Macaca fascicularis: one gene and its partner. The protein of the gene in region 1 binds, or shares a complex with, the protein of each later gene. Links are inferred from orthologs where the notes say so. Each region holds a gene or a part of one and is shown in the gene's direction. Other genes may lie near its edges. The genes, in order: NPR1 and NPPA.

Region 1 (3,808 bases):
TTCCCTCCCTTCCCATTGTTCCATGTCTCTCGAGATGATGGAGGAGGACACTGGCAAGTTCAGCCTCTGAAACTCAGGTCATCATCAGTAATATGGAGACGATACATCCTGCCCTGTCTACCTAGCAGGATTCAGGACGTGATGCTAATCCAAAGGCATCATTTAAATAGTAAAATCTCCCTGTGATGTAGCGGTGTTATTTTCTCCCATCCTCTTCCAAAATCCCAGTGCCTCTCGTTCCCTTCCCCACAGCTCCCACCTCCATACCCTTCATACGCCCACCCCAGCCAACCTCTGTTTGCCCCTACAGGTGAACACCATCCCAGCATCCTTCCACGATGGGCTCCTGCTCTATATCCAGGCAGTGACGGAGACTCTGGCACATGGGGGAACTGTTACTGATGGGGAGAACATCACTCAGCGGATGTGGAACCGAAGCTTTCAAGGTCAGGGCCTGGAGGTGGTTGGAATGGGCTGCCTTGGGGGATGAATCCCAGGTGCCCAGTGTAAAGCCATGAGAAGCCTATTGCCCTGCAGCACAGTTACCTATGCACACCAGCCTTTTCCTCCACAGCTTTTATTCAGGCCCATCCCTCAGAAGTCCTACTAAGTGTCCAATCTCAATCATCCCTGCTGGGCACTGAATTCTTTTACTTTTTTTTTTTTTTTTTGAGATGGAGTCTTACTCTGTCCCCAAGACTGGAGGGCAGTGGTGCGATCTCAGCTCGCTTCAACCTCCACCTCCCAGGTTCAAGCGATTCTCCTGCCTCAGCCTCTTGAGTAGCTGGGATTACAGGTGCCCTCCACCAATGCCTGTCTAATTTTTTTTTTCTTTTTTCTTTTTTTAGTAGAGACAGGGTTTCACCACGTTGGTCAGGCTGGTCTTGAGCTCCTGACCTCAGGTGATCTGCCCACCTCAGCCTCCCAAAGTGCTGGGATTACAAGTGTGAGCCACAGTGCCCAGCCCTTTTACCATTTACTATCATTCTGTATACATATATGTTTGGAAGGCAAGACAAAAAAGATTAGAGGATGAAGAGATGAAGTGGGGCACCCCTGAACTTCCATTCTCTCAAACATAATCGTCTTCCCCCATGTCCTCAGGTGTGACAGGATACCTAAAAATTGATAGCAGTGGCGATCGGGAAACAGACTTCTCCCTCTGGGATATGGATCCCGAGACTGGTGCCTTCAGGGTAAGTTTGTGCACCCAGAAGACAGTGCCAATTCCAAATGACATCTCACCCTCCCACTTCCCTCCCCACAGCCCTGCCAGGGCACCTGTTTATCCTGTAGCCATTCTACCGTGCCTGGACACTTACGAGAGCCCTGGATAAAACAGACCCAGCTCCAGTCTGGGGAAGCCACCAGAATGATAGGGACCCACAGGCATCACACTTGGGGAGCCCCATGCCTGAGGAAGGAGCACAACCCTGCCCTCGGGGAGCCCCGAAAGGAGGCAGCAGGACCACCTCCCAGCAGAGACAGGGTGGTGAAGGACGCACATTACATAACTCTGCAATTGAGTGGAGACAGGAAGGTGCTGAGGCCAATGGTGGCAAGGGACAGGTCATCCAGAGAAGGCCTCCTGGAAGAGGGGCACATGGACTGGGCCTGGGAATGTAGGCTGAGGTGGACACTACCTTCTGTTTTCTACCAAGAAAATAGGTAGAGAAAAATCAGTGCTTGGTTGGTGCTTCAACCAAGATTATAAACCCCCTGAGTGTAGACATCGGGTTCTAAATGGAGTTTTCTTTATAAATCCCTTGATAGTTTTCAGGTGTTTCCACTTGAATAATATGTGTGTGGTATGAGGTCCTGTATCCAGTTGCAGCAGGGGCTTGGTAAGCAGGTGACAACCCAGATACATATAGGCTCTGGAAGCAGAGCTGGGGTAGGTGGGAGGTGAGACTGCTGCACTGCACAGCAGGCCTTCCCCACAGGCCCTGGCCTAGCCACCACTCCTGCTCTCCCTTAGGTTGTACTGAACTACAATGGGACTTCCCAAGAGCTGGTGGCTGTGTCAGGGCGCAAACTGAACTGGCCTCTGGGGTACCCTCCTCCTGACATCCCCAAATGTGGCTTTGACAACGAAGACCCAGCATGCAACCAAGGTGACTGCCCCTTGCCTTCCAGGCCTCCATCCTGGAGATACTGCATCCTTCCCCTAAGCACAGTTGAGTAGGTGCTCCTGTCCCACGCTGAGGGCTTCCTGGAGAATGATTCCTGCCTTTTTCTCCCCTTCATCCATCATCCCAGTTCACTGATGGACTATTAGAAAGTTCTTCCTCCTGCTGTCTAACCCAAATCTCTCTTGCTGCAATATGGACTCTCTCCTGCAGATCACCTTTCTACCCTGGAGGTGCTGGCTTTGGTGGGCAGCCTCTCCCTGCTCAGCATTCTGATTGTCTCCTTCTTCATATACAGGTGAGCTGTGATGTGGGGGGCTGAGTGAGGCTGGAGGACCCGGAGAACCAATAGCAGAGGAGGTGGTGGGGACCCAGAGGGAAGGGGGCAGGGGTGAACGGACAGCAGGGGAAAACTAAGGGAGATGAGAAAGAAAGGAGGCTTAAAAGCCAGAGGAGAGAGAAAGAGAAGGGAATGGCAGGCGAGGGGAGGAGACAAGGATAGGAATGGCCAAGGAGAGTCAGAGAGATCCAAGAAGCAGAGAAGTTGATGCGTGACATCATAGGGGTGTAGACTGGTTTCCCTTGCTACTCTTGCAGGCCAGATGGGAAGCAATGTTCTGAACCTTGGGATCATGCCCATGTTAGTTGAGAAGGGTGGTGAGCCCTGGTGTGTGCCAGGTGCCCAACCTAGAGTGGAGAGGGGAGCTAAATGAGCCCTGTTCCTGCCGTTCAGTGGAGGCTAAAATGAAGTACAGGAGGAGTTAATGATATACGAAAGCAAAGAAGGAGGGGAGAAAATCACTGCTGGTTGAACATAAAATATATGCCAAGCACTTCCACGTATACTATTTCTTTTTTCTTTTTCTTTTTCTTTTTTTTTTTTTTTGAGATGGAGTCTCGCTCTGTCGCCAGACTGGAGTGCAGTGGCATGATCTCGACTCACTGCAACCTCCGCCTCCCAGGTTCAAGCGATTCTCCTGCCTCAGCCTCCCATGTAGCTGGGACTGCAGGTGCATGCCACCACGCTCAGCTAATTTTTGTATTTTTAGTAGAGACAGAGTTTCACCATGTTGGCCAGGATAGTTTCGATCTCTTGACCTCATGATCTGCCCGCCTCGGCCTCCCAAAGTGTTGGGATTACAGGCATGAGCCACCGCACCTGGCCTCACACACACTTTCTTTTCATTCTTATAATAGTTAAGAATGAAATAGATATTGAGGCCTCATTCCCAAATAAGGACATTGAGGTGATTCCCCCAAGGTCCCCAGTGAGGCAGAATTTCCCCCAGCCATCCTGATTCTCGGTCCAGAGTACATAATTCCCCCTCCATCTCTGACCACGCATCATGGTGTGGTCCCACGGCTCTGAGGAGGGGCTGCTGAGCACCCTGCCCTGGGTCAGGGGCTCAGCCACGGGCTCAGATACAACCTTCGTACCCCAGGAAGATGCAGCTGGAGAAGGAACTGGCCTCGGAGCTGTGGCGGGTGCGCTGGGAGGACGTTGAGCCCAGTAGCCTTGAGAGGCACCTGCGGAGTGCAGGCAGCCGGCTGACCCTGAGCGGGGTAAGAACGCTAGTGTTTGTGTTGGGGGGCAATAAAGGACAGCTAGGTACAAGGGGCAGTGCCTGAGGGGTAGGGAAGGGAGCAGGATTCTAGTCCCAGCTCTGCTTTCACTTGCT
Region 2 (3,920 bases), about 120 Mb from region 1:
AGAAATAGATCAGGAGAGCAGCCAAACACACACAGCCTTGGTAAGTGCACAAAAAAGCTACAGCCCCAGGGGCATGGGGAAGGTGAAGGAGCTCCCTGGGGCATCTGAAAGATGGGGAATGGTAGTTTTAATAGGGGAATGCAGCTAAGGGGTAAAGAGGCAGCACCCTACGTGAAATAGGCTAGGATGCGGACATCAGTGTCAGACCTGGGGTTCCAGTCCTGGTTCTGCCACTTAGGCACCTAGTGGCCTTGGGCAAGTGGCATAGCCCCTCAGGCTCAGTTCTGTTCCCTTGTAAGCAAGGACAATGCGGTCTACCACCAGCTGGGGATGATGATCAAAATAAAATCATTTCCATAAAGTTCTCAGCACAGTCTTTCTCATTTTACACACAAGGAAAATAAGGCTGCGAAGATGTATGCAACTGGTTGGTTTGGGGCTAGAGTGCCAGTCTGTCAGTCCTTCAAATTTAGTGTTTTCCCCCAGTATACGTTGCATTGAATGGTAATGGCTAACACTGAGTTCGGTGCTTAGCAAACAGGCCATTCGTTAAACATAGACAGGCTCGTTGCCTGTTATTTCTCTTTTGGGGGCCAGAGAAATTGTGACCTTGGTGGCTCAGTCACTTGCCCCTTGCCACGTCCTCAGGGAAGGATGTAGACGGCATTGAAGGAAACCGACTATACCTCCTTCACCCCCACCTCCCTCCCTTCATTGGCTAAGTTGCTATGGGCACAAGCCCAGGAAGGGCAGGGGGCTGTTACAAACTTCAAACACGAAGAGTCTGAGCATGTATAAACAGCAAAGGAAGAAACGAAATTCGCTGCGTCCTCTAAGCCTGTCCCCACAGCATGTTGGAGGAGGGTCGCGGGGGACGTGGAAGAGGAGGAGCTTTGGAGAGATGCTTGTGCTTCCCCGGCTTTTCTTGGTATTTCTATTCGGGGCTTGGAGCTTCATCACATTTGGTTCCTGGCTGACTTTATACACTAAAAAATAACTCCCTTTTGTCTGACCATGGAGAGGGACTGCCAGGGGTGAGGGCAGCCCTGTCTGAGGCCAGAGGTCTGCCCACGTGGCGGATGAGGCAGGTGTGAGGCCAGCTTGAGCATATGGACCCATTTGTCTCGGGCTGCTGGCTGCCTGCCATTTCCTCCTCTCCACCCTTATTTGGAGGCCCTGACAGCTGAGCCACAAACAAACCAGGGGAGCTGGGCAGCAGCCAAGCGTCACCCTCTGTCTCCCCGCATGGGTACCAGCATCGAGGAGAAAGAATCCTGAGGCATGGTGGTGAGATAACCAAGGACTCTTTTTTACTCTTCTCACACCTTTGAAGTGGAAGCCTCTTGAGTCAAATCAGCAAGAATGCGGCTCTTGCAGCCGAGGGTCTGGGGGGCTGTTGGGGCTGCCCAAGGCAGAAGGGCTGTGACAAGCCCTGCGGGATGATAACTTTAAAAGGGCATCTCCTGCTGGCTTCTCACTTGCTGCTTTATCGCTGCAAGTGACAGAATGGGGAGGGTTCTGTCTCTCCTGCGTGCTTGGAGAGCTGGGGGGCTATAAAAAGAGGAGGCACTGGGCAGCTGGGAGACAGGGACGGACGTAGGCCAAGAGAGGGGAACCAGAGAGGAACCAGAGGGGAGAGACAGAGCAGCAAGCAGTGGATTGCTCCTTGACTACGCCAGCATGAGCTCCTTCTCCACCATCAGTGTGAGCTTCCTCCTTTTTCTGGCATTCCAGCTCCCAGGTCAGACCAGAGCTAATCCCATGTACAATGCCGTGTCCAACGCAGACCTGATGGATTTCAAGGTAGGGCCAGGAAAGCGGGTGCAGTCTGGGGCCACGGGGCTTTCTGATGCTGTGCTCACGCCTCTTGATTTTCTCCAAGTCAATGAGGTTTATCCCTTTCCCTGTATTTTCCTTTTGTAAAGAATTTGCTGGACAATTTGGAAGAAAAGATGCCTTTAGAAGATGAGGTCGTGCCCCCACAAGTGCTCAGAGAGCAGAATGAAGAAGCGGGGGCTGCTCTCAGCCCCCTCCCTGAGGTGCCTCCCTGGACCGGGGATGTCAGCCCAGCCCAGAGAGATGGGGGTGCCCTCGGGCAGGGCCCCTGGGACTCCTCCGATCGATCTGCCCTCTTAAAAAGCAAGCTGAGGGCGCTGCTCACTGCCCCTCGGAGCCTGCGGAGATCCAGTTGCTTCGGGGGCAGGATGGACAGGATTGGAGCCCAGAGCGGACTGGGCTGTAACAGCTTCCGGGTAAGAGGAACTGGGGATGGAAATGGGATGGGATGGACACTACTGGGAGACACCCTCAGCAGGAAAGAGACCAATGCAGAAGCTCATTCTCTCTCAAGTTTCTGCCCCAACACTGTGAGTGCCCCATGGGTGTCAGGACACGCCATCTATTGTCCTTAGCTACAGTCTGCTGAGAAAATGCTTAAAAAAAAAAAAAAAAAAAAAAAAGGCCGGGCACGGTGGCTCACGCCTATAATCCCAGCACTTTGGGAGGCCAAGGCAGGCGGATCATGAAGTCAAGAGATCGAGACTATCCTGGCCAACATGGTGAAACCCCGTCTCTACTAAAAATACAAAAATTAGCTGGGCACGGTGGTGCTGGGTGCCTATAGTCCTAGCTACTCGGGAGGCTGAGGCAGGAGAATCACTTGAACCCAGGAGGCAGAGGTTGCAGTGAGCCAAGATTGCCCCACTGCACTCCAGCCTAGGTGATAGAGTGAGACTCTGTCTCAAAGAAAAAAAAAAAAAAAAAAAAAGAAGCAGCAACTGCCACTAGCACTGGGAAATTAAAATAGTCATAGGGCCAAGTTATCTTTGCATGGCTGATTAGCAGCTCATGTTCCTCCCCAGAATTGCAAGATCTTGAAGGGCTAAATTGAAATTTACTCTGATGAGTAACTTGCTTATCAATTCATGAAGTTCAGAGGGTCATCAGGCTGGGGTGGGGGCCGGTGGGAAGCAGGTAGTCAGTAATCAAGTTCAGAGGATGGGCACACTCACACATGAAGCTGACTTTTCCAAGACAGCCAGGTCACCAAGCCAGATATGTCTGTGTTCTCTTTGTAGTACCGAAGATAACAGCCAGGGAGCACAAGGAGGGCTGGGCCTTGGGACAGACGGCAAGAGGTTCCTGCCCGCTGGGGTCTCTCCTGCATTCGTGTCATCTCGTTGTCATGGAGTTGTGATCATCCCATCCAAGCTGCAGCTTCCTGTCAACACTTCTCACATCTTACACTAACTGTAGATAAAGTGGTGTGATGGTGGCTTCCTTGCCTCTCCCACCCCATGCATTAAATTTTAAGGTAGAACCTCACCTGTTACTGAAAGTGGTTTGAAAGTGAATAAACTTCAGCACCATGGACAGAAGACAAATGCCTGCGTTGGTGTGATTTCTTCTTGGGGAAGAGAATTCAGGCCGATCGATATTCCTTGTCATTTTACTCTTTGTCAGAGAACAGAATGCTGAGGTTTTCTTATTCCTTTCATTTCACCCTCCTTTTTTGGTGGGTGGTTGGGGAGGCCTCAAATTCCACTTAGTGCTTTTTGGTTACGGGGGTTTTTGTTGTTTTTGGGGGGAACATTCAGAAAATGAGAGTATTAATTAGATTTCCTCTGATACATTTCGAGAGAGTTAGGTGCTACAGCTAAGTTAATGGCACTTTTAGTTTTGAAAAGAGTAGGCAGAGTGTTGAGCTTAAAAGCTGAGTAGGCTGGGTGTAGTGGCTCACTCCTGTAATCCCAGCATTTTGGGAGGCCAAGGTGGGCAAATCACTTGAGCCCAGGAGTTCAAGGCCAGCCTGAGCAATAAAGACCTCATCTCTACAAAAAATTGAAAAATTAGCCAGGCGTGGTGATGTGCACCGGCAGTTCCAGCTATTCAGGAGGCCAAGGTGGGAGGATGGCTTAAGC

The links.
Region 2: the proteins of NPR1 (region 1) and NPPA are in contact, whole or in part, in a crystal structure (PDB 7BRG), measured with the Rattus norvegicus proteins. The link is inferred for Macaca fascicularis from reciprocal best matches to the Homo sapiens genes NPR1 and NPPA. Residues at the interface, in NP_036745.1 of Rattus norvegicus: Asp90, Val115, Tyr116, Ala119, Pro120, Arg123, Ala139, Leu140, Gly141, Ile142, Val144, Tyr148, Tyr182, Asp184, Leu186, Gly187, Asp188, Asp189, Arg190, Phe193, Phe194, Val196, Glu197, Tyr200, Met201, Arg204, His213, Gln214, Glu215, Phe216; in NP_036744.1 of Rattus norvegicus: Arg126, Ser127, Ser128, Cys129, Phe130, Gly131, Gly132, Arg133, Ile134, Asp135, Arg136, Ile137, Gly138, Ala139, Gln140, Ser141, Gly142, Leu143, Gly144, Cys145, Asn146, Ser147, Phe148, Arg149, Tyr150.

The regions. Positions count from the first base shown.
Region 1 is NC_088375.1:107,488,474-107,492,281, reverse strand, and holds part of NPR1 (atrial natriuretic peptide receptor 1), read left to right. Parts: intron 1-310; coding exon 311-446; intron 447-1,104; coding exon 1,105-1,196; intron 1,197-1,978; coding exon 1,979-2,114; intron 2,115-2,342; coding exon 2,343-2,427; intron 2,428-3,571; coding exon 3,572-3,692; intron 3,693-3,808. UniProt on the Homo sapiens protein: Receptor for the atrial natriuretic peptide NPPA/ANP and the brain natriuretic peptide NPPB/BNP which are potent vasoactive hormones playing a key role in cardiovascular homeostasis.
Region 2 is NC_088375.1:222,958,572-222,962,491, forward strand, and holds NPPA (natriuretic peptides A), read left to right. Parts: upstream 1-1,581; 5' UTR 1,582-1,680; coding exon 1,681-1,803; intron 1,804-1,925; coding exon 1,926-2,252; intron 2,253-3,077; coding exon 3,078-3,089; 3' UTR 3,090-3,383; downstream 3,384-3,920.